Linked DNA regions of Macaca fascicularis. The protein of the gene in region 5 binds, or shares a complex with, the protein of the main gene of each other region. Links are inferred from orthologs where the notes say so. Each region holds a gene or a part of one and is shown on either strand. Other genes may lie near its edges.

What was found.
Region 1: RIPK1 (region 5) and AIM2 share a complex: the UniProt entries of both Homo sapiens proteins name them as parts of the AIM2 PANoptosome complex. The link is inferred for Macaca fascicularis from reciprocal best matches to the Homo sapiens genes RIPK1 and AIM2.
Region 2: RIPK1 (region 5) and ZBP1 share a complex: the UniProt entries of both Homo sapiens proteins name them as parts of the AIM2 PANoptosome complex. The link is inferred for Macaca fascicularis from reciprocal best matches to the Homo sapiens genes RIPK1 and ZBP1.
Region 3: RIPK1 (region 5) and CASP8 share a complex: the UniProt entries of both Homo sapiens proteins name them as parts of the AIM2 PANoptosome complex. The link is inferred for Macaca fascicularis from reciprocal best matches to the Homo sapiens genes RIPK1 and CASP8.
Region 4: RIPK1 (region 5) and RIPK3 share a complex: the UniProt entries of both Homo sapiens proteins name them as parts of the AIM2 PANoptosome complex. The link is inferred for Macaca fascicularis from reciprocal best matches to the Homo sapiens genes RIPK1 and RIPK3.
Region 6: RIPK1 (region 5) and MEFV share a complex: the UniProt entries of both Homo sapiens proteins name them as parts of the AIM2 PANoptosome complex. The link is inferred for Macaca fascicularis from reciprocal best matches to the Homo sapiens genes RIPK1 and MEFV.

Annotation. Positions count from the first base shown.
Region 1 is NC_088375.1:102,018,825-102,023,179, reverse strand, and holds part of AIM2 (interferon-inducible protein AIM2), read right to left. Parts: coding exon 4,232-4,355; intron 3,390-4,231; coding exon of another isoform or gene 3,195-3,389; exon of another isoform or gene 2,884-3,194; intron 1,984-2,883; coding exon 1,564-1,983; intron 1,125-1,563; exon of another isoform or gene 815-1,124; intron 373-814; exon of another isoform or gene 216-372; intron 1-215. UniProt on the Homo sapiens protein: Sensor component of the AIM2 inflammasome, which mediates inflammasome activation in response to the presence of double-stranded DNA (dsDNA) in the cytosol, leading to subsequent pyroptosis.
Region 2 is NC_088384.1:113,682,846-113,687,680, forward strand, and holds the start of ZBP1 (Z-DNA-binding protein 1), read right to left. Parts: upstream 3,290-4,835; 5' UTR 3,138-3,289; coding exon 3,104-3,137; exon of another isoform or gene 3,061-3,103; intron 1,506-3,060; exon of another isoform or gene 1,355-1,505; intron 1,186-1,354; exon of another isoform or gene 1,017-1,185; intron 674-1,016; exon of another isoform or gene 538-673; intron 212-537; exon of another isoform or gene 1-211.
Region 3 is NC_088386.1:97,036,780-97,041,571, reverse strand, and holds the start of CASP8 (caspase-8), read right to left. Parts: upstream 3,390-4,792; 5' UTR 3,243-3,389; coding exon 3,218-3,242; intron 1,031-3,217; exon of another isoform or gene 972-1,030; intron 1-971. UniProt on the Homo sapiens protein: Thiol protease that plays a key role in programmed cell death by acting as a molecular switch for apoptosis, necroptosis and pyroptosis, and is required to prevent tissue damage during embryonic development and adulthood.
Region 4 is NC_088381.1:92,153,015-92,158,048, forward strand, and holds the start of RIPK3 (receptor-interacting serine/threonine-protein kinase 3), read right to left. Parts: upstream 3,479-5,034; 5' UTR 3,314-3,478; coding exon 3,294-3,313; intron 3,085-3,293; coding exon 2,944-3,084; intron 2,810-2,943; coding exon 2,500-2,809; intron 2,048-2,499; coding exon 1,902-2,047; intron 1,776-1,901; coding exon 1,729-1,775; exon of another isoform or gene 1,691-1,728; intron 1,522-1,690; coding exon 1,354-1,521; intron 1,244-1,353; coding exon 1,176-1,243; intron 961-1,175; coding exon 586-960; intron 446-585; coding exon 385-445; intron 1-384. UniProt on the Homo sapiens protein: Serine/threonine-protein kinase that activates necroptosis and apoptosis, two parallel forms of cell death. Necroptosis, a programmed cell death process in response to death-inducing TNF-alpha family members, is triggered by RIPK3 following activation by ZBP1.
Region 5 is NC_088378.1:169,999,638-170,004,738, forward strand, and holds the start of RIPK1 (receptor-interacting serine/threonine-protein kinase 1), read right to left. Parts: upstream 3,094-5,101; 5' UTR 2,989-3,093; intron 2,686-2,988; exon of another isoform or gene 2,587-2,685; intron 2,167-2,586; 5' UTR 2,159-2,166; coding exon 1,942-2,158; intron 1-1,941. UniProt on the Homo sapiens protein: Serine-threonine kinase which is a key regulator of TNF-mediated apoptosis, necroptosis and inflammatory pathways.
Region 6 is NC_088394.1:4,035,527-4,038,863, forward strand, and holds the end of MEFV (pyrin), read right to left. Parts: intron 3,098-3,337; coding exon 3,065-3,097; intron 2,899-3,064; coding exon 2,345-2,898; 3' UTR 964-2,344; downstream 1-963. UniProt on the Homo sapiens protein: Involved in the regulation of innate immunity and the inflammatory response in response to IFNG/IFN-gamma.

The DNA.
Region 1 (4,355 bases), on a different chromosome or scaffold from region 5:
ACCCTGGGGTTGGAAGAGAGCTATTTTTTTTTTTTTTTTTTTTGAAACAGAGTTTCGCTCCTTCACCCAGGCTGGAGTGCGATGGTGCAATCTTGGCTCACTGCAACCTCCACCTCACTGGGTTCAAGCCATTCTCCTGCCTCAGCCTCCAGAGTAGCTGGGATTATATATAGGTCCCTACCAATACACCCGGCTAATTTTTGTATTTTTACTAGAGACAGGTTTTGCCACATTGGCCAGGATGATCTGGAACTCCTCAACTCTGGCGATCCACCTGCCTTGGCTTCCCAAAGTGCTAGGATTATAGGCATGAGCTGCCGTGCCCAGCCTGAAGACAGCTATTTAAAACAACAAGTCCAGGAGAGACATGAGGTAATGATGCAAGATCCAGCTGAGAGTCTAGTAAGTAATCAAAGACAAGAAATAATGCACAATCAAGTCTAGATCAAAAGGAAATAGGAGGTTGGTCAGTTATTTCGGAGATTGATTGTATTTTAGCTTTAATTTTGTGGACTAAATCAATATATGTTAGTGGCCAGATTAAAAGCTGAAAACTGGGACAAAGAACATGACCTTCCTATCCAAGGTCATTTTACACTTGAGTTTTCCAAGAGGACTGGAGAGTCTTCCTATCAATTCCTTCTAAAACTAACCCAAGGCAGCAGAGGTTATTCTGAGGCTCTGAATGCAGGGGCAGCAGGTTCCCTCTCTACGGTTCTTCAGGTCCTGCCCTAGACCAGAAAAAGTCATTCCACAAGGCTAGTTCCCTGAAGCTCAGAGTCATAATACTTTATTATTTCTCACTTCTAATAAGTCTCCTCGAGGAGTGCCTCTGCCCGGCCACCCCACCGTCTGAGAAGTGAAGAGGGCCTCTGCCCGGCCGCCCCACCGTCTGGGAAGTGAGGAGGGCCTCTGCCCGGCCGCCCCACCGTCTGGGAAGTGAGGAGGGCCTCTGCCCGGCCGCCCCACCGTCTGGAAAGAGAGGAGCGCCAGCCGCTGTGCAACCTTCCAAGTGTGAAGTGATAGCCTTGTATGTGATCTTTTCTGTCTTCCCCAAGTTTGCATTTTCGACATTAAAGTTTACTTTTAATTAAAAAGAAAGAAATAAATAAGTCTCCTCAAGCTAACTCTTTCTTCTGTTTTCTTCATTTAATCACAGTTCTTTAATCCTGACTTGCATATTGGTTTTTCAGGTCAATTAATTTGGTTGATTACTCAACTACACTTATTTTGCAATCACAACAATAGTCACTTAAAATAAAGATAATATGGACAAAGTACAAAAATAACGCAGAAATAAAAACTATGTGAACGAACTAATTCCTTTTTCAGAGGCTACTGGGATAAGAATAAGTTGAAACAGGATTGTGACATTTTTGACAATAAAAACAATTTTTGAGTTTTCGTATGAATTTTGGCATGTTAACTCTGCAGCTCTTTAGAACTTTGTATTTTTTTATTTTGTCTGTATAGACATTAACACCTTTTCTAAAGTCTCTTTAAGATCAGATGGAAAATACGTTATTCTTACTAATCAATATGAAATTAGCTATGAAAACTTACCTTCTGGACTACAAACAACCCATTCACAATTGTTCCAAGGGGCTGAGTTTGAAGCGTGTTGATCTTTGGGGTTTCACCAGCTTTTCTGATAATGTTCAGCGGGACATCAACCTTTTGGTCAGATTTAGCATCTAACACACATGAGGCGCTATTTACCTCTAAGAAACCACTGTGCTGATAATATCTTGATATTATAATCATTCTCTTTGGAATGAATTTATCTTTCAGCAGTGTATTAAAAACTTTTACAAAGAAGAATTCCTTCTCTGTAGCCACCGTAGCATGAAACATCTCTTGCTTGCCTTCTTGGGTCTCAAACGTGAAGGGCTTTGTTGCTTTCAGTACCATAACTGGCAAACAGTCTTTCCGAAACTCTTCTCTGATAGATTCCTGCTGGGCCACCCTCTGTTTCTGCTCAGGCTGAAGACAAGAGAAGAAAGATATCAGCTGTGAGTCAAAAAGGTACTATTGAGAGGACCTTCCTTCACCCACAGTGCTAAGCCTCAGGAAACCACAGAAGACAGGTGGAATCAAGGGAAGAGACACAGAGGGGATAAGAAGAGACTTGAGGCCTAGAATGATCTAGATGGAACAGAGAGTGCAGAAGGAAGATTTCAACTCCTGTATTCAGATAAGACGGTGTAACATGTTTTGGAGGAAGGATCCCTAAAACCAAATCCTTGCTTTGCCATGTGCTGTATAAAAAGACTTCATCAGATTTCTGAAATATTGCTAAGCCTCGGGGTAAATCTGATAAATCTGATTCCATCTTCTGTGGATTCCATTCGGGCATAATATATCCTTGTTTCTCTATCCAACACTGTCCTAAACATTCATTTTACTCTGGTATAAAAGTGAGAGAGCTCAGTGACCTGCACAGGGTTCCCCAAATTCCTAGGGAGGTATTGTACGTAACAAAATGTAGACTATGTTTAATGTGAGTTAAGGGGGAGACCTAGGTCAGAGATCTTACAAGTGAGTTAAAGGAGAAATTTAAAAGGAGAATTGATACTACATTTGTGGATTTACCCTTAAATAATGAATTATGCACTAAGGTTTACATTTTAAAAATATATCTTATTATTTGAAATTATAAAAAAAGAAATAATTTAAATACATAAAAAATAGAATTTGGTTAAACAAAATATGGTATAGTCACAAATAGATTACTATACAAATATTAAAAATGCTTTAGAGAAATAATGTGATAAACTGTTATAACTGACTCAATAAAGGGAAAGGTCCTAAACAGATAAAAAATCTCTTTCTTTTTGGATAAATAAGCAGTTAAAGCACATACACAAACACACTACAGAGATATTTACCAACATCAATATTTTTTTCCTAGATGATACAATTATAGGTAATTTTATTCGCTTCTCTGTGTTTTTTATTTTTCTGAATTAACAGAGATAAGATACCTTTTTTGGTTTGTTTTGGGAGAAAATACTACTTTTTAAAAGCAACTTGCCATCTAGAACCAAATGGAAATACAGGGAAAAACAAACAGAGGCATAAAAAGTCAAGTGTAGGAGTCTCGAAGGCTGTCTCCGATGTGACCTGAAGCTTGGGCCAGTGGAGCTGGGGCCAGTAAGGGGCCCTGACGGGCAGTATAACTGACTGCATTTGGATCAATGCAGGTAAAGGTCAGTTCCACTGAGTTCCACTACAAAAGTCCTCTTTGGTCCATGTATCTTTAGTTGAGTCTTCCAGACTGAATGATGCACATTTTCATTACTGGTGATGGAATCACACCATGTATACTTGAACCTTGTTTTCTGAAAAATCCAGAAGTTTCTGGGCCAAACCCAGAGGAAATGGCTCCTCTAGACAAAGAGAATGAAGTATGTGTAATCAGTTTCTAGAGCTCACACAGCTATAAAATGGTGTAACACCTGCTTCACAGGAAATGAAATTGCATGTGTGGTGGATTCTGTGTTGGGCCTTTCCGATATTGCCTGCCGCTCCCTCAGGACTAAAGTAATCATTCTCATCAATGAGACTCTTCAGGCACTACTCTCTCAGCTAAACAGGGCCACCTCACCTTGTCCATGCAGGTGTATAAAGGGCTTTTTTACATTACTTTTAAAAAGCAATTTGCTGTCAAGAACTAAGGGAAAATACAGGGGAAAACAAACAGAGGCATGCCAGGCCGAGTGTAAGAGTCTCTGCAATAGATCTCTGATGTGACCCAGAGCCTGGGTCTGTGCAAACCACAGACTCCCCCACCAGTCTTGGGAGCCCTGAAGGGCATTCTCAGCTCCCGAGCTCCCTGTGGGGTAGGCCAAGGCCTCTATTGCAACTATATTGGACTTGACATTCTTCCTCTTCTACTCCTTTCACTTCCTCACAGATACTAATTCTGAAAGTGCTCTAAAATAGACTTCCTGTAAACAACTGTCTATCTCAGAGTTTTCGTCTTATAGAATCCAAACCATAACAGAGTGTTAATGTGTCCAGGCCCTGACAGAGATTAGAAGCTCAACAGGTGTTTAATCTGATTAATCAGAGGTAGTTCCTGTTTTTGTGACTCAGAGTGCTTTTCACACTGTGGCCTTAATTCCCTTATTTGCATGCTCTGAGATAAAGAACAGAGAACAATGTGGGAAATGACAGTGACAGTGATGCTCTTACAAGGACAAAGACCACTCCACTCTCCTCATCCTACCTTAACATGAGGAGAGACTTTTGGTGCAGCACGTTGCTTTGTGACATCATTTCTGACGGCTGCAGATGCAGCAGGACTCATTTCAGGTTGACTTAGTGGCTTTGGTTTTGTTACCGATTTGTAT
Region 2 (4,835 bases), on a different chromosome or scaffold from region 5:
GCTCTGCCGACCACCCAGCTTGACCTGCACCTGCTCCCAACTTCCCTCCAAGTGCTGGCCTGTTTGTGCTCCCTTTAGCCCCACTCACCCCAGCCCCTTTGCACACACTGTTCCGGCTGCCAGGAACACCCTTCCCCCACATCCCAACCTGTATGATGTCTACTCAACCTCCAGCCTCCTCACATGCCACTTCCTTGGGGAAGCCTGTCCCTGTGTTCCAGAGTGGCTGGGATCTGCTTGTGTGTGGGTCCCCTCGTGTCCCCTGCTGTACTTGCGTGGCTCACTGTTGTACCGTCAGCATGTAGCACAGTGCTGGGCACACAGGACGTGCTCAGGAAATGGCAGTTGAATGTATGAGTGACTGAGTGAATGAATGAATGAATGAATGGGACCAGGAGTGGTGGCTCACACTTGTAATCCTAGCATGTCAGGAGGCTGAGATTGGAGGACCCCTAGAGGCCAAGAGTTCTAGACCAGCCTGGGCAACATAGTGAGACCCCCATCTCTACAAAAACAGAAAAAAAATCAGGTAGGTATGATGGCACGTGCCTGTAGTTCCAGATGCTCAAGAGGCTGAAATGGGAGGATCGCTTGAGTCTAGGAGGTTGCAGCTGCAGTGAGCTATGAATGCACCGCTGTACTCCAGCCTGGGCAACAGAGCAAGACCCCATCTCTGGAAAAAAAAAAAAGGACTGAGTAAGTGAGTGTCTGTCTCTAGGGACAGACATTTACTCAGTAGACCCAGGCAGCTCCTCCTTGGCCAGTTGGCAGGTGCTGCTGTTTCCTGGCCTGAGTTTAATGAGCCCTAAGCAGGACCCCAAGAGATTCAAGGAGGAATTCTCCAAATGGCCCCTGCTCCTCCTGAGGCAGCTCTTAAAAATCAAAACCATTAGCTCAAACAATGATTAAAAAATCAAAGCCAGCCACTGCCCAGAGATGAGGCTGGGGCAGACACAGGGTACAGGCAGCACCTGCAGCCAGCAGCCTGGGAGAGCCACGGTGGGGGGGGGGCCCACCTGTCACCAGAAGGTTCTGCTTCAAGGAACCCGAGGGCAGTGCGTGGGAGAGCTCTTCTGGGAAAGACCCGAGTTCCCCTTCCAGGACAGTGACTCAGTCCTTGTCATCTGGGCTTTCTTCCTGTTCAGAGGATTCTCTAGGGTTGCCCAGGGATCTTCGGTCGCAGCACTTGTAGGGGAGGGAAAAATCAGTTTGTGCCTCGCCCTGATGGCTACAATGCTGACAGGCTACCGTGTGCAGGTGAAGAGAAATGAGAAGACCTGGGAATTCCCACTCCTGCGCCTACCAAACTCCCCCACCGGCAGCCAGCAGCATCCCCGTGCACCTGACTTCACACCTGGCTTCGCCTTGTCTCTCGGAGTTTTTTGTTGTTGAGACAGAGATTCACTCTTGTTGCCCAGTCTGCAGCTGCAGTGGCGCGATCTCGGCTCACCACAACCTCCACCTCCTGGGTTCAAGCAGTTCTCCTGCCTCAGCCTCTTAAGTAGCTGGGATTACAGACACGCACCGGGTTCAAGCAATTCTCCTGCCTCAGCCTCTCAAGTAGCTGGGATGACAGGCACGCACCACTACACCCGGCTAATTTTTGTATTTTTAGTAGAGACAGGGTTTCCCTTTGTTGGCCAGGCTGGTGTCGAACTCCTGACCTTAGGTGATCCCCCCAACTTGGCCCCCCAAAATGCTGGGATTACAGGCGTGAGCCACTGTGCCCGGCTGCAGAGTTTTGATTCTGGAAGGCTGACCCTAGGGAGCCACCACCTCTGCTCCACAGATCCAAGAGGAGATGGGGGTCAGAGGTGTGGATGCAGGACAAGCCCGGGTGCTGGGCTAGACTCGACCGCTAAGTCCCAGGCTCCTATGTCTGAAAATGGAAAATTGTAAAATGGAGCAGGTGTAGGCAGCAATTTGGTCACAAAAGGAAAATCAACTGGGGAGGAAGACAAGGAAAGCCAGCGAGGGCTGAGTCCGGAACCTCTGTCAGCACCTGTGAGTCCCCGAAGAGGAAGCACCACAGGAACTCGGTGGCCAGCGCGGCTCCTGGCCACACCCTGACATTAGCCCACCAGGGGCACAGTCTGGGTTGGTTTTTTAAAATTTTGATGGCTGATTTCCTGGGTTTGAGCTCCTAGCCCTGACAACTACTAGCTATGTGACCTCCCCCCGGCTTCAGGTTCCCCTTCTGTGAAATGGAGACAATAATAACTACTTCAAAGATTGCGGTGAGGATTAAAAACAAAACAAACCCATCCCCCAAACTGCAAAACCACACTTCACCTACAGTCCACAGCGCTTCGTGGAGACCCTAGAGAACAGCAATTGCTTGATACACTATTGGCTTTCATTGCAGCTCTTCCAGGAATAAAATGAATGAAATGTTAGTTGAGGAAAGAATGCAACAACAAGGAACAAGGGCATACATGTACCTCATCAAAGCAAACTGCTTTGTTCTCGATATGACTGTGACATGGGTGTTCAAACGCTAGCACCAGTGCTCACCAGCTGTGCTACCCCGAGAGTGTCATTTCACCTCTCAGGGCCTCAGTTATCTATAAAATGGGAATGACATGGCACTTGTCCCTGCAGGCCATTGAGAAATGCTTGCGAAGCTTGTTTTGAGGTGCCCAGGGCATAGTCAGCTGTCGAACGACAGCTTTCTACTTTTCTTTTTTTTTTTCTTGAGACGAAGTCTTACTCTTATCACCCAGGCTGGAGTGCAATGGCGCCATCTCAGCTCACTACAACCTCCACCTCCCGGGTTCAAGCGATTCTCCAGTCTCAGCCTTCTGAGTAGCTGGAATCACAGGCATGCACCACCATGCCTGGTTCATTTTTGTATTTTTAGTAGAGACGGGGTTTCACCACGTTGGCCAGGCTAGTCTCAAACTCCTGAGCTTAACCAGTCCACCTACCTTGCCTCTCAAAGTGCTGGGATTACTGGCGTGGGCCACCATGCCCAGTTGGTCTACTATTCTTTAGGATACCGGTATTGTCATCATGATCTGGGCCAAGCACAACAGGAAGAAAGAGAAGTGGAAATCTCACCCCGGGAGCCACCGCTGGTCCTTGGAAGGAAGGAGTACTGTACCTTCTCTGCCCGGGTCAGCAGGAGCCTGGGCCATGCTCACAGCAGCTGCAAGGAGCCGGGGAGACTTGGCAGGTGGTGCAGGCTTCTGCACTGTGGCCTTGAGAGGGTGGGCTAGATCAAGGCTGGGGCTTAAGTGGCCAAGCCTGGTGCTTCTTGCAGCTCTGAACCCGCAAGGGAAGGGACGCCAACTTCCACCGGGCGGGTGTCAGCTGCTTACAGTCCGGAAATAGATGCCTAGCCAGCCCGGCCAGATTAGGTTTCAGGAGAAAAAGAAAATGAAACTTCACTGTGTGTCTTTTGAAAGAAAGACAATTGGAAGCTGGGTGGATGAGCAAGACAGAGTTGGGGCCCTGACTTGATGTTGACAGGGAGGAGCTGTAAACTTGGCAAGACCAGAGCATCCTCTGAAGAGGCCTTTGAGACAGAGGACTTCCCTCACCTTCCCAGTTCCAGACACAGCCCACCTGGACCTCCACATTTTTATTTTCTGAATCAGCATCAGAGAATTAAAAAAAAAAAAAAAAAAAAAGAGCATGCACCATCTGGAGGGGGGATGTCAGGGCGTGGCATCACTCTGATGATGTCAGGAGCTGGGGCTGGTTTCCCGGTTTCTGTGTTTTTGTTTGTTTTTGAGGCAGGGTTTCTGTCATCCAGGCTGGAGTGCAGTGGCGTGACCATGGCTCACGGCGGCCTCGACCTCCCGGACTCCAGCGATCCGCCCACCTCTCAGCCTCCTTAGTAGCTGGGACCACAGGCCTAAACCACCCTTCCCGGCAAATTTTTGTATTTTCTGTAGAGATGGGGTTTCATCATGTTGCAGGCTGGTCTCAAACTCCTGGGCTCAAGCGATCTGCCTGCCTTGGCCTCCCACAGTGCTGGGATTCCAGGCGTGAGCCCCCACACCCGGCCCCCCTGGTTCCTGTGGTGCTTCCTCCCCGGGGACTCACAGGTGCTACAGAGGCACCATCCCCAGCTCTCAGTGGCTTTTCTTGTCTTCTACCCAGTTTATTTCCCTTGCTCACACTAGGGGCAGAACATTTAGGTGGGTGAGTGCCCTGAGATTGTTCTTGTATGTATCCATGTGAGTGTCTTTAATGAACACCTACTATGTGCTTTCCAATCGCAAGTGCTCCTCCAACCCATCTACAGGGTAGGGGCCAGTTCTGACTTCTTCTCAGGGGGGAAACTGAGGCTAGAAAGGCAAGATCACTTGTCCAAGTCCACACAGAGTCCATGGCAGAGCTTGTCCTGTCCATTCCCCAGTTGTGTTTCCTGATCTGTAACACCTAGAAGTCATTGGTGAATCACCCTTAGTGCACAGATGGCATGGAGTTCCCAGCCTCATCATAAAACTGGCTTATTAATTCCAGAGTCAGATGCCTGGGGTCAGCATCTGAGAACCGGCAGCTGAGTGGTTCGGAATGCAAGCCTGCGATCAGCATGTTTGGGTCCAAACCTGGCTCTGCCATTTACCAGCTGCGTGACCTTGGACAAATTATTTAACCCCTCTGTGCCTCAGTTTCCCCATGTGTAAAAGGACTTAAAGGACCTAGCTCGTGGGGTCGAGGTGAGGACTTAAGGGGCTAATCCAGTTCAGCTCTCGGGCTAGAGCCCCAGAGCCATCCGTAGTCATGGGCACCGTGGTCACCCTCACAGGAATGCTTCTGGGAGAGGACCCATTGCTCACACAACATTCTCAAAAGGTCCAGTGACCCCAGAAAAACTCAGAGCC
Region 3 (4,792 bases), on a different chromosome or scaffold from region 5:
GAACCTCAACAAAACACATAATCCCATCATTGTCAAACAGAATGAAACTTGCAACTTCACCCGTAAATGCTTAACCCCACAAGTGCAGGTCTCCGATTTTGTCCATCTAGTCTTCCCATTATATTGTTTTTTGAACTGTTCTGTATCTTTTTAATTTCTCTTTCTTTTCTCTTTTTTTTTTTTTTTTTTTTGAGACGGAGTTTTGCTCTTGTTGCCCAGGCTGGAGTGCAATGGCACAATCTCGGCTCACCACAACTTCTGTCTCCCAGGTTCAAGCAATTCTCCTGCCTCAGCCTCCCGAGTAGCTGGGATTACAGGCCTGCGCCACCATATCCGGCTAATTTTGTATTTTTAGTAGAGACAGGGTTTCTCCATGTTGGTCAGGCTAGTCTCAAACTCCTGACCTCAGGTGATTCACCCGCCTCGGCCTCCCAAAGTGCTGGGATTACAGGTGTGAGCCACTGCGCCCAGCCTTTTTAAATTTCTTTAAAACATAAATAATTGAATTAGTAGGACCACATGGGTGTGTGTATGTGTGTGTGTGTGTGTGTTTATGTTGGCAAATGTGTATGTTGGTGGGTATGTGTGTTGGTGGGAGGATAGCTGTAGCAGCAAAGTTAGTTGAGATTTAAATTTTGGCTTCTACTCTTTGTTTCACAAATTTAGCTGGGATCAGGATGAAGCCTTTATACAAGTAGGTAAATGGCAGCATTTCAGAAACTCCTAGCACTTAATCAGTCTAAGCCAGACTGGCCTCAAGATCTGGAAACTGCACGGCCCTCGGCAAGGCTCTCAGAGGGACTGCTACCTCTTCCACTAACTTCATGGTTTCCCATCCACACTCACATACGAGGATCACCTCCATAGCCCCAGGGCCACCCAACCTCACTCTCAGCAGCCTAAAAAACTCCAGAATCAAAGGCCTTCTCCCAAAAGGCCCCTCTGACCTTAACAAAGGGGCAAATCCTTACCTTACTCTCACGATGGTAACACCTTTGTTACAGGCCTCTCCACTGCCATCTGAGCATCTAAGACAAGAGCAAACGTCTAATGAAGGATGAAGGGCACAGCCAGCTGTACTTCCTGTTTCGAAACTCCTAAGTCACAAACACTAGAGGGGAGGGAACGCTTACCACTTGCCCCTGAGTGAACAGAGCACCTTCTAAAGCTTCTAAAGCTGGAGGAAAAAGGCCTGATGGTCCAAGAGACTGCCTGCAGGGTGGGGCGGGGCATCTGGCCACCTGAGCACTGGCCCCTGGCTATGATGGGCCATTTTACCTTTGGGGCCTCATTTCCACATTCCAAAATGAGGACGTTGAACTGGATTGTAACTAAGAACACTTTCATTTCGTATTTAGGATTTAAAGATTTTTCTGGGTTCATCATTAAGACTTTAATTTTTTCATTCAATGAATCTTGATGGAGCACCTCGGAGAAGTCTTGAGATTGGACATCGTAGAGCCCTCATCTTTGTTCTCAGGGTGACTGTGAACGTTCAGAGCTAAAGCCCCTGGTTTAGCCAAGGAGCATCTCTGTGGCCCCAAGTCACCAGATTCCACTCTCAGCCGCCTAAAAAACTCTAAAAAAAAAAAAAAAAAAAAAAAAAAAAAAAAAAAAAAAAACTCTAAAAGAGAAAAAACTCTAAAATGAAAAACCTCTAAAAAGAAAAAAACTCTGAAATAAAAAAATTCTAAAATGAAAAAAATCTAAAAAGAAAAACCTCTAAAATGCAAAAACTCTTTGGTAAGATGGTAACCCTATCTTACCAAAGGTGATCCTTGTATATGAGTGTAGCTGGGGACACCACGAAGTCAGCCACAAGATGGGTTTACCATCTTATCAAAGAGGCAAATCCTGGGGCCCTCACCATGTTGGGCTCTAGGGACAGATCAGTAAACAAAAGATTGCCTTCATACTGAGAGTTAGACGAAATGTTTTCTGATGTTAAAAGTAGGAAAAGAAAATCAAGCACCTCTCTTCTTTGAAACTGCCTTTTGTCTTTCCCCAAATAGAATATAAGCTTTCAGAGGGCAGGGACTCATAGCTGAGAAGACTGAATGAAGTATCTGAAAAGGACTCTTCACCAGAGAGGGCTAGGTCAAGGTGGCCTGATAACATCAATGCCTGGATGGCCACAGTGGCTCATGCCTGTAATCCTAGCACTTTGGGAGGCCAAGGCGGGAGGATCCCTTGAGCGTAGGAGTTTGAGACCAGCCTGGGCAACATAGTGAGACACCATCTCTATGAAGAAAAATTTTTGAATTAGCCAGGTGTGGTAGCACACGACTGTGGTCCCAGTTAATCTGAAGGCTGAGATGGGAACATTGCTTGATCCCAAGATGTCGAGGCTGCAGTGAGCCATGATTGCACCACTGCACTCCAGCCTTGGGTGACAAAGCAAGATCTTGTCTCAAAAAATAAATAAATAAAAAAGAAATAGAAACAGAATGAGTAAAATAAAATGCCAATAGTATTAATATGCAATAATAATTGCTAACTCATGTAGTAAGTGATGTGTGCGTATTATCTCCTTCAAGCCTCACAGTCACCTCTCAAGGCATTATTAATCCCATTTAACAATGAGATAACAGAGGTACAGAGGAATTACTTACTTGCCTGAGATGGCATAGTTAAAAAACAGTGTACATATACAAAAGAAAAATACATTTTGCAAAGATACAGATAAATTCACGAATCCACATCAAAACATTAGAGAATTATCTTTGGGGAGCAAGAGAGAGGGCAGGAGGGCAGGGGTGGGGGTGGAGACATAAAAGGAAACCCTTAAGACACGGAAGAGGGGTAAGCGGTCTGTGCACCTCAGGGCACTGTGATTCGACAGAATAAAGAACTTAACCCTCGGCCCCAGAGCCAAATGAAAAAGAAAAAAAAGTGGATTGATAAAGTTTTCTGGACTCTCCAAACGGGTTCACAGGAGGGAGACTGTGTATCTGTATTCCAGGCAGTAGGGAAGCTGGGAGGACAAAAAGGCAGCAGAGGAAATGGAGACTGCTCAGAGTGAAAAAGTAGCAAGATCAGAGGCAACAGCTCAGAGAGAAACCCCACAGGAGACCTGGCCAGGCAGCACCCAGAGGTGTCCTCAGCCGGGCAGATCCAAGCTTCTTCCCCGCCCCCACAGCCCTGTTTCTAGAGCAAGTCAAGAAACAAAAATATGTGGTTTCCTGTTGAAGAGGCCACCTCGGCAACAGGCACTCACCCGCTCCACCCTTTCCTGGCACCATCGCAGTCTCTGAGCCCCCTAACCTGCCTAACTCCACGTGCTCAGTGGGGAAGGGGGTGGGACAGGCTCCCAGGAAGAAGTTTCTTTTACTTTCAGTAACCACCCTGGCTCTTCTGCCTCCCTCCACCGCCTCACTTCCTGTTGAGTTGACTAGCAAATTCAGGAGGCTTGAAAAAAAAACACAAGAGATAAAAGGAGGAGAACCTGTGAAAACACTTCCCTCCAGCAGAAGGGCAGAACCTGGTCTCCGAGAGAAAGAGAAAACTTCACAGCAGAATGAACTGCAGGGTAAATTTTACTCCTAAAGCAGAACGGAGATGACTCACCCGAACAAGAAATGTTTCCTATTTAAAGGAACAGATGCCCAGTTTCCAACCATTCAGAAGAGGGAGGTGGCAGACATTTCATGGACATGCAAAACTAAAACCCCGAGCGCTGGACGTGCTTTATTGGAAAGCATTTATACTGACTCCATTTAGTAATCATAACCCCTGTCGGTGACAAGTAATATGCCATTCTTCCTTGCAAAGGGTCTGGGAAGAGGAAGTTTCCCTCTGCCTTGATCCAAACCTCAGCACTGAAGTCATAGACCAGCCCTCTCCTCCCTCCCTACGGACTGGGTGAAGCCACCCCTGTAGCTGAAATGTAGGTAGACTGTTCACAAAAAAAGGAGGAAGTGTTCTGACTCAGCCCTACTTGGCTCAGCCCTAAACAGAGCTAAACAGCCCTAAATAGGGCTGAGCCAGGACACTTCAGTTCCCTTCTTTGGCCATGTTCTCCAGTTTAGTTGTAACCCGTGTCTTTGTAGCATTGATCCTGGAGTGTTGGTGCTACTGAGGTCTGTTCCCCAAAGCTCTGAACCCCAGACCCTCCCTTGTTCTCTTTTTTTTTTTTTTTTTTTTTTTTTTTGAGATGGAGTCTCAGTCTGTTGTCCATGTAACAGTACAGTGGTGCGGTCTTGGCTCACTGCAACCTCCACCTCCTGGGTTGAAGTGATTCTCCTGCCTCTCAGCCTCCCAAGTAGCTGGGACTACAGGCACCCACCACCACGCCTGGCTAATTTTTGTATTTTCAGTAGAGACGGGTTTTCACCATGTTGGTCAGACTGGTCTCGAACTCCTGACCTCAAGGAATTCACCCACCTTGGCCTCCCAAAGTGCTAGGATTAGAGGCATGAGCCACTGTGCCCAGCCACTCCCCTGTTCTCTGCCATCCGCCTCTGTTTCCCATGTGAATTTTTTTTTCTTTTTTTTGGGATGGATTTTCGCTCTTGTTACCCAGGCTGGAGTGCAATGGCGCCATCTCGGCTCACAGCAACCTCCGCCTCCCGGGTTCAAGTGATTCTCCTGCCTCAGCCTCCTGGGTAGCTGGGATTACAGGCATGCACCACCATGCGTGGCTAATTTTGGATTTTTAGTAGAGACAGGGTTTCTCCATGTTGGTCAGGCTGGTCTCAAACTCATAACCTCAGGTGATCCACCCACCTCGGCCTCCCAAAGTTCTGGGATTACAGGTGTGAGCCACTACACCCAGCCATGAATTTTTAAAAAG
Region 4 (5,034 bases), on a different chromosome or scaffold from region 5:
TAAGGTGTGTCCTGTGCCCTTCCCTTCAGAGTTCCTCTCCAGAACTGGCTTAGCAGAAGCTCTAGAGAGTAGCAATTGACATTTGAGACCCTGATCTTTTTTGCTGGGAAGTCCTCTGGACTGCTGAAACAATGGAACTTAGGGGGCTCACAGAGCTGATGCTGTGGAAAGTTAGAAAACTCAGGGAAAAATCCAAGCTTCGTTGTGTGACCTCAGAGGGCTCCTTTCTCAGGGGGTGTCAGTTTTCCCATTTATGAAATGAGGTTGAGTTAGATGATCTTCTCCCCTCGCCTCCAGAAAGTACCCTGAATCTAGATATAGATCTGGAGGAGGAGTCTCATGGAAGAATTGAACAGGGAAAAGAAAGAGGTGGAGAGTGGGTACCTGTTACTGGATTTGGCTCCGGGGTCCTGGAGGACCAGTTCATGCCATGTCTCTCAGCGCCCTGCAAACATCACAGAGCATCCAGTTCTGTCCTGGAGCCTGGACCGCCCAGTGCACTCCTCTCAGCCCCAAGTTTTGCCTGGCAAGGGGACAGCATTTATAGGACTCTTAGTGCATCCCCTAATCCTGCCAATGTCTCACCTGATTCCCCTGGGGTCCAGGACTTGGTGTTCCAGTTGATGTGGGGCTGGGCATCTGGTTTCTGAAAGTTGAGGTCTCTGGAGTCTGGGGAGGTTGGGCCACTGAATCTGAAGATGTCCCTGCTGTCCTGGCTTGCAGAACCTGCTCCTCTTGTGCCCTGCTCCTCTTGGTAAGGCTCGGGTATTTTTCAGGAACAGAGCTGGGAGACCCCTCTAGATTCAGTTTGTTTAGCAGCTCAGAAACCATGACATCATTACGAGAGTGTTGGTTTCCTGTGGTTCTCCTAAAGCCATCCATTTCTGTCCCTCCTTGGCCTGACTCGGGGGTAGAAAATCTCGGATTGCTGCTCCTGAGCTCAGATAGGAAATTCTTTACCTGCAGGGATGGGAGGAGTTTGCTGGGTATGACTTGGATGAGCCAGAGTAAACCCAAGGGAGTAGTCTCTTGGAACTCAGGGGTGGGCTGGGGAGGGTGAGGACAAAGGTCAAGGCATAAAAAAGCTGTGGTTAATGGTGAGTCATTGGATGGCCAGGTAGCCATGTTGTGCCATCCCTGACCAGCTCCTGGAGAGGGGTGATGTTGGCGCTCACTGTGGAGACAGCAGCATTTATATTGTTCTCCACCATCTGGAAGGCTTCATCAGTTTTTGGTAGGCATTCTAGAGGGACAGCAGAGTGGGTTGCAGGTGAGCAAATCTTCTTTTCCTGAGGAAAGCCCCATGCTGACAGACCCAAGCTTACCCCAGATCCAGCTAATTGGCCAGCTCACCCTGGAAGGAGGGTCTGTCCTTGGGCTCACTGCTCCAGCAGAGCTGCATTAGCTCCTTCAGTCCTTCTAAGCCGGGAGTCTCAGGCCCAGCTTGGGGCAGCTCAGTCAATGAGGGCCGGGTCTGCCTCCTGCACACTGCTCCACACACCAGTGATGCTTCTGTTGGCACTGGAGTAGGGGAGGAGGGTGAGAAGAGAAGGCATTCAGGGTAAAAGGGAATATCTGCTCCATCATGGAAAGAGGCAGGGAGTGTAATGTGGGAGCACAAGGATGGAGGAGGGCAGTCTTAGTAGGTGAGCAGGAAGGGGAAGCTTTGGGGCTTTCAAGAGAAGGGCACCTGGGGTTAAGGATCCCAGAATCCGCCTAGAGTCTTACACTCAGCTTCTCTTCCAGCAAGCACTGCCCACATTAGGATCCCGAAGCTGCAGGAGACACAAAGCTGAGGACCAGTCCAATCACTGGCAAGACTCCTTTCCTATACATCACCCCCTGGGAGGGCCCAGAGAAGTGTAGGAATCCCGGCTGTGTGTTTGGGCTGGGATCCTTACCTGTAGACATCACTGGCTGTGGAGGCCTTCCGGTTTACATTAACAAACAGTTCTGGGGCCAAGTAGCCCAGGGTGCCCCCTGGCTCCCTGGATGCTGTCCCTGACTGTGAGCCTCCCTGAAATGTGGACAGGCCAAAATCTGCCAGCTGCAAAGGAAGGAAAGAAGTGGGAGGTAGGGAAGACAAGGGGGCCAGGCAGCCTCCAGAAACCCCCTTGCCCCCAGAAGGTTCAGGTTCAGCTTTGTAAAGGGAGTGTGGAGGTCAAGGGAAGAGGCTCCCTTGGATAGTAGATCTAGGTGCCTGTGGTAGGGCTGGGTCAAGGTGTGAGTCTCCAGGGCTGGGTCAGCCATGACTCTTTGGAGGGGTTGGTGGGGCAGCTGGTGGAAAGGACTCGTGTGGGTCGGGGCCTCTATCACCTGGTATGGCAGGAGCTAAAACTCCTGGCTGGGCTTTGTGCCCTGGCAGCCCTGTGTCCAGAGGGAGAGGCTACGCCTATTCAATAGACAGGGCTCTGGAGGTCTGGTGTCCAGTGGGCCTGGCTGGAGCTGCTCTGGGGTGGGACCTTGTCCTGAGGCTGAGAGGGGTGTAGAGCAGCTGACCTTGACGTGCAGCTCTGGGTCCAGCAGGACATTGGATGGCTTGAGGTCCCGGTGCAGGAGCACCGGGTTCTGGTTGTGCAGGTAAAACATCCCAAGCACCACTTCTTTCAGCAGGCGGCAAAGCAGCGGCCAGGGCCTAGGGCACTCGGGCTGCAGCAGCCGGGACAGGGAGCCGTTCTCCATGAATTTAGTCACCAGAGCCGGCTTGGGCACGTGGTCCCAGTTCACCTTCTCGATGACCCCTTCTAGGCGCAGCACGAATTCGTTATCCAGACTTGCCATGGCCTTGACCTCCCTGGATATCGCCTTCCTACACTCCAGGAGAGAGCTGGAGTCACCCGGGGTCGTGGGAAAAATCCCTCCATTCCCCATTCAGGCCCCAGAGCACAGTGGCTCCACCTTTTTGGCCAGATTGCGGCCGGGGGGGCAACAGGGGTCACTCACGAGTTTACAATCTTGACCGCCACGTCGTAGCCCCACTTCCTATATCGCGCCCGGAACACTGTGCCGAACCCGCCTCTGCCGACGAACTCCTGGTTTTCCAGTTCCTCGATGGACACCAAGGAGGCGGAGGCACCACTGGGCCTGAGACAGGGGTGTCGCCCACTAGCCGGCAGTGCCCTACGCCAGCGCTGCTCCCCGCGCCCCTGTGACTCGGCGCTCTTACTGCAATCCCCGGCCTCTCTCGCCGGCCCCCACCGTCTCCAGACTCAAAGGCGTTCTCTGAGCGAGTCCGTGGGGCGCTCTGGGTGTGAATGTCGGAGGCTGCGATCGACATGCCTCTCCCTACTCACCATAACTTGACGCACGACATCAGGCTGGAAGGTGCGAGGGGGCCTCTGGAAATTGCGAGCAGTAGGAGATGGAATGACTTCTGGGGCTGCGGTCTTTGGCAGAGAGGGGAAGGGATCTGTCTCTGCAGGGATCAGTCTCTAGACCAGGACGGTGACTCCACTTTCCGGGTTGCTACCCGTATTCTGAGTTGACTGAACAACTTCCCTTACAGGCGCCTCTACAGTCCCGCCCCTGGGGTGGGGCAGGGGGCAAAGCGAAAGCTAGTGTCTTTCTCCCTGACTAGCGTTTCCTGAGTGCCTGCCGCATGCAGCGGCCAGGTTAGGTGTGGCTGGGCATTGAGGATGTTAGGGAATGGGTCCTCACCTTCCAGGAACCCACAATCAACCCACTCCTACAGTCAAAGCCTTCTCTTTTCCCACAGGATTTCCTGCTCCACCACCTGCCAGGCCATGAGTGGAGATGGTGCTTAGGCAGGTTTTATGGTTTTAGGGCTCAGCTCTCTCATAGCTGCCCTAAGATCATAGCCAATGCATATATAAAACTTATCATGCACCAGGTACATAGATTAGCTTATTTAATTCTCACACGAACCCTAAGGGGATAGGTACTGCTTTTATTACCTTTCTATAGATGAGGAAACTGAGACACTGAGAGTTTAAGTACCTTGCCTAAGCCCATATGGAAATAATGGCTCTGAACCATCAAGTTATCCTGTTTTCACATCATAGGTTTCAGGGCTGTTTTCACATAGGTTTCACCTGTTTTCACATAGGTTGCAGGACCACTCAGCTGGTCCTGCAGGAGGCTGGGAAAGTTGTGAAGCATCCAACGATGTAGTGAAGGATCCCTATTTGTATTCCTTGGGACTTATATGTTCATAGGGACTTATATGCCCTATGAACAGGAGCTCCTTGAGCTGGCAGACCCCAAACCCACTCCAAGGGCATTGTGGTAAGGCTAGATATACCAGCCCATCCAGCGAGTTGGTGACATTGTGGTGTACACTGCAGTGGAAACAATTCAGAGCTTTCCTGCCCTCTCTCTTGCATGACAATTCTTGCATGCAAATACCCTAATTAATGTTCCTGACAAGCACATGCTCTGGACACAGGCTTTTGATAACCCAGAAGCATGGAGAGTCTTAAAGATTTAGGGCAGAAAAAAGGTGTCCATATTTTACCTTTTGGAGGTCTGACCATGACTGGAGGTTGTGGGAACCCGATAGGGCCAGCCCTAGGCACTCAGTCCTTCACAGGGATACTCAACCCTGTGGGTTGTGTGTTGGCTTTCACTAAAAGGGGCTCACCTTGGTACTTGCTTTCCATTTTGTTCAGCGGTCCATGGGCTCTTCTGGTTGAGGCAGAAGTGATCAGCAGTTTTTTCTAGAACAACTCCTGGAGAGCTACACCATGGCTTCTGGTAGGGTCAGCTCATGCTATTTTGGAGCTATTTAGGGAATTGTTCAACTGTAGTCTCTTTAAAAGCCAATACATGGCAGATACCCAATAAATATTTGTTGAATTGAATGAATAAATGAACAACCAAAAATATTAAGCCTCTTTTAAGGCACTGATCATCCTAGATGGAGCTCCATACTCAGTAGGAGGAAAGAGGAGATCGGGTTCCTATAGGGACTGAGGGCTCTCACCTGCACAGTTCATGAAATCCGTCTGAAGTAGGCTTTAGTATAGAGATATGGTGGTATCACACAGAATCCAAGAAGGCAAGAAGTGTAGCAGG
Region 5 (5,101 bases):
CTACATAATGTATGATTCCAACTATGTGACATTCTGGAAAAGGAAAAACTATGGAGATAGTAAAAAAGATTAGTGGTTGCCAGGGATTTGCAGGGAAGGAGGGATAGGTAGGTGGAGTACAAGGGATTTTTAGGGCAGTGGAATCTGATATTACAGTGTTGGGTACATCTCATTATACATTTGTCAAATGTATCTTGAATATACACAAAGAGCAAAACCTAACAAGCTCTGGACTTTGACTGATAATGTATATGTTTTATCCATATTGGTTCATTTTTATAACCATGTATCTATGTTGGTTCATCAGGTGTAACAAATACCCCACACTAATGCAGGATGTTGATGGTAGGGGAGGCTATACAGTCCAGGATGTTTGTGGGAGGGGATATTTTCTTTCTGCTTTGTTTTGCTGTAAACTAAAACAGCTCTAAAAGTCTATTCATTATTTTTTAAAAGATGTATACATACCAAAAAAGACAAAAGGCAGAGCTATTCACTCAACAAAGCTTTCTACTGTATGCCAAATAGGTACTAGATACAAGAGTATCTGGTGATAGATACAAGAGATACAAAAAGGAATTCATTCCTTTAATAAATATTTACTGAGCATCTGTTCTAGGCAGTGAAGCCTCGGTTGTGAATTAAACATAAAAAATCTCTGTTCTGGCTGTGTGGAGTGGCTCCCACCTGTAATCCTAGCACTTCGGGAGGCTCCGTCGGGTGGATTGCCTGAGCTCAGGGGTTACGGACCAGCCTGGCAAACATGATGAAGCTAAAAATACAAAAATTAGCTGGGCGTGGTGGCGCACATCTGTAGACCCACCTACTCAGGAGGCTGAGGTGGGAGAATTGCTTGAACCCAGAAGGCGGAGGTTGCTGTCAGCCAAGATTGCACCACTGCACTCCAGCCTGGGTGACAGAGCAAGACTCCGTCTCAAATAAAAAAAGATAAATAAATAAAAATCTCCGTGTTCCATTTGTGGAACTTGCATTCTAATGGGGAAGACAAAAAGTCATTGCCCATCACTGTCCTCTGGACATCATGTGATCTTGGAAGATTGGAAATGCATTGTTTTTGCTTCATTTTGTTTTCAGTGCTCTAACTCAGAAACATCTATTTGGGAGCTTTACTCATTACTCCCAGCAAAAGCCATGAGTGTAGATGGTGCATGAGACGAAGGAACTGGTCCTTGCAGAACGCCAGAATGGAAAAGGCAAGAAACAGCCCAAGGTGAGGAAGGAAAACCAGCGAGAACAAAGAGCTAGTACTACCTCTGAAGCTAGTGGAAGCCAAAGTGTGAATGTGAGGGGGTGGGTCTCTTCGCCACAGGTCTGAAACCAAATGAACCCCCACCCCCAGGCTGCAGTTCCCAGTGCCCTTGGAAATGAGACCCTCACTCCTCCAGGTGAGCCTGGGAGACCTCCCTGACCCCTTTCCATCCCCCTCGTCCCCCACACCCATCCCCAAGGCCTGCCCTCTACGCCCACATTTCGCCCACATTTCTTTCCACTTCGGATCCTGTGCCTGGCCTAATGCGCAGGCCCCCTCCCGAGCCTCTGCTCACCTTAGAGCCACTCCTCACTGTCGGGACACCTCATGTGTGCTCCCCGAAACGCCACGCAAAGCACTGGAGAGCCTTGGACAATGAACACAACCCGCTTCCCCCAGCCACCACCGGGCCACAGCCACACAGGATCCTCAGAAAGCCGTGTCTTAATCCTCTTGTCCTTCCTCCTAAATCTCCCAGAACCCTTAGGATCCGCTCAAAGCCACCTTGTTAAAACGGTTTCTTCTCCACCTGCCCCCTCCCTTGATCCAGCCTCGCTCAGGTCACAGCCTCCACCTCTGGCCATCCTGAACCCCTCCCAAAGTCACCTCTTCACAAACTCCTGGTCCCCCTTACAAGGCCCCATGTCCATCACGGGATTAATTCTACTCACCCTCAAACACCGCGGCCTGGAGGCTTGATTCCCACCCTAAAGGAGGTTCCCTTGACCCCGCCGGCGCAACCCTCCCCAGCACGACCGTTCGTCCCGAAGGTGACTCCTCATCTTGCTGGCGGTCCCCACAGACCGCAGGCCCTGCAGGCGACGGCTGAGCCTGGCTCCGCGGATTCACAGTCCCTGGAGGAATGCTCCGGGGAAGGACGGGCCCCATCCGTTTCGCTGAATTATTGAAAGAATTAGGATGGGTAAGAGTGCTCGGATTTGGAACTGGAGACTGGTGACTTTGAAAGAGAAGTGCCGTCATCCTGCGGATCCCAGAGCAGAGAGGAGCAGTGAGAAAACAGGGCTGGCAGGTGGGGAGGGGCTGCAGGGGAGAGCTTCGGCCGGAGAAGGGCAGCGAGGAGGCGTGGGGGAGGGCGGCGTCCGCGCTGGCGGGGAGCTGCGGAGGCGGAAACCGGCTGCGCGCTGCAGGGGACCCCCCAGAGACCGTTCCTGACCCGCCGAGACACCACCGCTTCCCCGGGGCTCTTGGATGAGCGACCTCTCCTGTCCTCAGGTCTCATCTTTCGGTGGCAGCCGGGGGACCTGAAGCTCGCCATTCCCGTTCCCGACCCCGGCCCAGCGCGGGGATGCCCTCACCTGCCACCTCGTCTCCGTGCCGCGCTCCGAGCCTGGACGCCGATCCCCAGGGCCCAAGACGTGACTCTGCTGCTGCTGCTGCTGTCGCCGCGGACTCCCGCTCGGGCCTTGGCGGGCACCGCCTTTTAAACTGTCTGGGAGACGGGGGTTTTTAGGCTCCTTCCATACTTGACAAGCCGCCTGACTGGGGCTGCGCCTGCCGGGACTATCCTGGGAGGCGCGCGCGTTCGCGCGGTGGCGGAGGGCAGGGCTAGGAACATGGGAAGGTCAGGGTCCCCCCAGTTCGCCCCGCCCAGGGCGAAGTCCGCGAATGTTCCCGCCGGTCTGAGGTCAGCCAGGTTCCCAAGGCGCGCACCCGGCCTCGCCACCCGCAGCGCCCTGCGCGGGGACGCCCGCACCTACCACCTGGTCCAGCGCCGCCGCCGTTTCCGTGCCGCGCTCCGAGCCTGGACGCCGATCCCGGAGGCGCAGGACCCGGCCCTGCTGCTGCGCTCGCCGCGGACTCCCACTAGGGCCTCTGCGGGCACCGCTTTTATACCGCAGGGTCGGGCGCCTGCCACGCTTCCGCCTAGCGGGAATAGCTGGGCCGGCGCGCGTGGTGGCCGAGGCGCCCCACCCCGCCGCCCCGCCCCGCTTTCTGCCTTCAGGCGGAGCCTGGCGGGACCAGCGGGGGCGGCGCGCGTGGTGGCCGAGGTCAGGGCTAGGGGAAGGGGCAGGCCAGGGTCCCCCAGTCCTCCCGGCCCAGGGCGAGGTCCGCGAATGCTCCCGCCAGCCTGAGGCCCGCCAGGTCCCCAAGGCGCGCGCCCGGCCTCGGCCACCGGCAGCGCCACGGCCGCTTCGGGATCGGGTTCTGAACCCAGAGAAGTTCTGAGCCCAGAGAAGTGGGTGGGAGCCTGCGGGGCCCAGGGCCTCCGCGCCAAGAAACAAGGGGTCTGCGGGAAAGGAGACAGAGCCTGGAACCCTGGGCTTTTCTACCTCAGGAAGCGAAGGTCGGGTGACAGCCAAGCTCCATGTTCCAGTGGGAAGGCCCCATGGGTCTGTGTTCCACGCCTCATGTCATGAATATGAGGGATTCACTTAGAACCAAAGCGTTTGTTCCAGGTCCCACCACTAACTAGTACCATTTGTTCCAGGTCCCACCACTAACTAGTACCGGTCCCGGGCCCAGAACCAGGCTCCTCACTCCTGGCGCCCGAGCCCCTCTCCAGCCACAGGTGCTTGGGCTGCGGTGCGGTGTAAGCAGCCCCATTTTCCCGCGAAGTGATGGGAAGAGACACTGAGTCACATGGGCTCCGGACACTCCTTGTGTCCTCTCTCGGGGGTCCAGAGGCAGGGACTCGGGGGAGTTGATGCAGCAGTTCGTAATGTCACCAGATATCCTCCCCACCCCGCTCCATCCTAGGCTGGACGCAATTGGAAGCATTTCATGTCGGCACGGTGACGTCCAGAGGAAGAGAACGGACCAAATGCCTCTCTCTGGAGCACCGAGTGTCTCCCAGAAGCCGTGTCCTCCTGTTGCGAACTGACCAGAATTAGGGCTTTCTCCTGAGGGCCTGAATTAGGGAGAGCCAGGTGCCTAAGGCACAACATTTCAGGAGGGCCACACTCATAGGTGCCAGCCCTGCATTTGCGTGGCCCTGAGAATCAGAGCCTCCTTCAATTTTATACCCTAGGTGCCTAGCTTGTTTTTTTAATTAACACCCTTATTAAGGTTGGGTAGGTGGTTCACGCCTGTAATCCCAGCATTTTGGGAGGCCAAGGTGGGCAGATCACGATGTCAGGAGTTCTAGACCAGCCTGGCCAACGTGGTGAATCCTCGTCTCTACTAAAAATACAAAAATTAGCCGGGCATGGTGGCGCATGCCTGTAGACCCAGCTACTCAGGAGGCTGAGGCAGGAGAATCGCTTGAACCCAGAGGCAGAAGTTGTAGTGAGCCGAGATTGCACCACTGTACTCCATCCTGGGCGAGACAGGGCAAGACTCCGTCTCAAAAAAAATAAAAATAAATAAAAAAATTTTAAAAAACACCCAAAAAATAAATAAATATATAAATATATAAAAGAACACCTTTATTAAAATACAGTGCACATACCATAATATTCATCCTTTTAAAGCATACAGTGGTTCTTAGTATATTGATGAAGCTATCCAACTCTTACTACTATCTAACTCCAGAAGATTTTCATTACCCTAAAAGCAACTGTGATACCCATTAGCAATTATTCTCCATTTCCTCCTCCCCACAACCCCTGGGAACCATAGATTTATTTTCTGTCTCTGTGGATTTTCCTAGTTTGGGGATTTCATGCAAATGAACCATACAATATGTGGTCTTTTGTGACTGCTTCTTTTACTTAGCATAACGTTTTAAAGCTTCATTCATGATGGTTCCAGGTAGCATTTATCAGGCTTTATTTCTTTTTATGGCTGAATAATATTCATAACAATATGTATACATATATCCATTTTGTTCATTCATCAATTGACAGACATTTGGGTTTTTCCATCTTTTGT
Region 6 (3,337 bases), on a different chromosome or scaffold from region 5:
GAAAAAGAATGGATTGGAACTATAGGTACACCTGGAGGGATGGCCATAAAATATTACATGAAAAAGTTTCAGAGCTACATATATCATGCATAATTATATTTTTGGAACAAACAAAACTCCTATGTATGTGTTGAGGGATACACATTTGACTATTAAAATGGTTACTCATGGGATGGCCAGGCGCAGTGGCTCATGCCTGTAATCCCAGCACTTTGGGAGGCCAGAGGTGGGCTGATCACTGGAGGTTAGGCGTTCGAGACCAGCCTGGTCAACATGGGGAAACCCCATCTGTACTAAAAATACAAAAATTAGCCGGGCATGGTGGCGGGCACCTATAATCTCATCTACTTGGGAGGAGGCTGAGACACAAGAACTGCTTGAACCCAGGAGGTGGAGGTAGAGGTTACAGTGAGCCAAGATTGCACCACTGCATTCCAGCCTGAGTGACAGGCGCACCAGCCTGGGCGACAGAGTAGTAAGACTCTGTCTCAAATTAATAAATAAAATAAAAATAAAATAGTTACTCATAGGGAGGCAGTGGAAATGGAGAAAAGGGGGAGATTACACTTTTTTTTTAATTGTGTCACTTCATTTAATGAGCACATGTCAATTTGGTAACTAAAAATAATAAAACCTTAAAAAAAAATAGAACAATACGCTGGGCGTGGTGGCTCATCCCAGCACTTTTGGAGGCCGAGGTGGGCAGATCATCTGAGGTCAGGAGTTCCAGACCAGCCTAACATAGTGAAACTCCATCTCTACTAAAAAATACAAAATTAGCCGGGCGTGGTGGTGCATGCCTATAATCCCAGCTACTCAGGAGGCTGAGACAGGAGAATCGTTTGAACCTGGGAGGCGGAGGTTGCAGTGAGCTGAGATCGTGCCCACTGCACTCCAGCCTGGGTGACAGACAGAGCGAGACTCCATCTCGGGAGGCAGGAGGAGGAGGGGACGAAAAAAGAACGATAAAGATTTTTTTTTTAATTTGATGGAAAAAAAGAGCGATAAAGATTTTTTAAAACAATTGGATGGAATCCTGTTTTTAGAATCTAATCCGTAAAATAAATGACATAAATGGATTTGAAATGATACCATAAATTAAGGGTGTAAACACAATATATATCTCTATAAATGCCTTTTAACATGAAAAGATGGCTACAGTCACATGCAATTAAAGAAATGAAATTTAAAAGAATAATTACAAAAATAATATTCAGAATTCTGAAAGCAAATTAATACAATTATTTAAGAGGGCAATATGGCACTTCCTATTTTAAGAAGTAAACTTTGGCCAGGCGCAGTGGCTCAAGCCTGTAATCTCAGCACTTTGGGAGGCTGAGACGGGCGGATCACGAGGTCAGGAGATCGAGACCATCCTGGCTAACACGGTGAAACCCCGTCTCTACTAAAAAATACAAAAAATTAGCCGGGTGTGGTGGCGGGCGCCTGTAGTCCCAGCTACTTGGGAGGCTGAGGCAGGAGAATCTCTTGAACCCAGGAGACGGAGGTTTCAGTGAGCCAAGATTGTACTACTGCACTCCAGCCTGGGCAACAAGAGTAGTCTCGAAGAAAAAAAAAAAAAAAAAAAAAAGAATCATAGGCCGGGCGGGGTGGCTCATGCCTGTAATCCCAGCACTTTGAGAGGCCAAGGTGGGTGGATCACCTGAGGTCAGGAGTTCAAGACCAGCCTGGCTAACGTGGTGAAACCCCCATCTCTACTAAAAATACAAGAAAATTAGCCTGGTGTGGTGGCATGCGCCTGTAATCCCAGCTACTCAGGAGGCTGAGGCAGGAGGATCACTTGAACCTGGGAAGTGGAGGTTGCGGTGAGCTGAGATAGTACCACTGCACTCCAGCCTGGGTAACAAAGCAAGATCCCGTCTAAAAAAAAAAGTCATAGTTCATTAATCCAGGTACACAAATACTTCTATCCCAATCCAGTCTGCTTGTGTTTCTCTAGACTTCCCATGTCCTCAAGACAAAAGCAGAGAGAACCAGGGGACATGTCCTTGCCGTGGGGTTCTGAGGGAAAATGAGGGCCAAATCTTCTGTTCAGGAGCACCTGAGAGTACCATTCACCAGGGATGGATTATGCAACGACCCTGTACTTCCTCCTCTGAAATCCATGGTGTGTCATCAGTACACTTCTTTAGCGGATTTACTAATACGTTCGTTCCTAACTTAGCTCTGCTACAATCGGGGAGGCTCCATGGGCACAGTAACTATTTTGTTATTCGTTGCATTTCCTGTAGCAGCTGGCACCCAGGCGGCATTCCGTGACTGTTGAGTATGTGAATGCAAGATACAAGGCCAGAAGCTGGAAGAGAGATGCAGTGTTGGGCATTCAGTCAGGCCCCTGACCACCCACTGGACAGATAGTCAGAGGAGCTGTGTTCTTCCCTCCATCATGTGTCCCAGGGCTGAAGATAGGTTGAAGGGGCTCAGAGAAACAGCAGCTGGTGAATGTATAGATGCAGGATCTGGCTGTCACGTTGTAAAAGGAAATGCTTCCAACTCTGTAGTCCACAAAGATGCCCACACGCTTGGGAGGCACCTTTATTAGCAGGCGGGTTGGGGGAACACTGGATGCCTGGTACTCATTTTCCTTCATCATTATCACCACCCAGTAGCCATTCTCTGGTGACAGAGTCATGTTCCCTTTCCTGCTTATGGATGCCTTGCAGGCTCCTAGGATCCACGCTGTCTTGTCTCCGACCTCCACCTCCCAGTAATGATGGCCGGAGAGGAAGCTCGGAGAGCCCAGAACAACGATGCAGCTGTCAAATCTTTGCGGGCCATCAGGCAGCCTCTCCCGCTTGTTTCCAAGTCTAACACTCTTCAGATCATCAGAGACGATGAGGTTGGGGTAAGCGGTTTCTGCATCCAGAATCACATTAACTGCAAAGAAAATTTGAATACCTAGCTAGGGGTCCGTGGGCAACATCCCTACAGGGTTATCCCCACCTGCAGGAAAACAGGGACAGGGCAGTTATTCTCGAACGTGGTGGGGGAGAGCACAGGGATCCAGCAGGTCAGGGCCACTTGCCTTGATCTGGGCACTTACCGGCATGTGCCTGAGCGCCAATCAGCTCTGGAACTACAGAGAAAAATGAGATAGGGAAAAAAGTCCTGAGCATTTGTATTCAGAGGGGCTAAATTACAATGTCCCGACAACAAGGAGACGCAAGGAACCCCCTGCTTAGGGCCCTGCATGCTATGTTGGGTATAATCCCGTTCCTCCCAGGAACCCAGGTCATGTTGGGAACTGTGGTCTAATGAGTCAACTCAGCCAGTGAGTCATGCAGTCATGCACAGAGCCTGGGGGGCCTGCCATGAC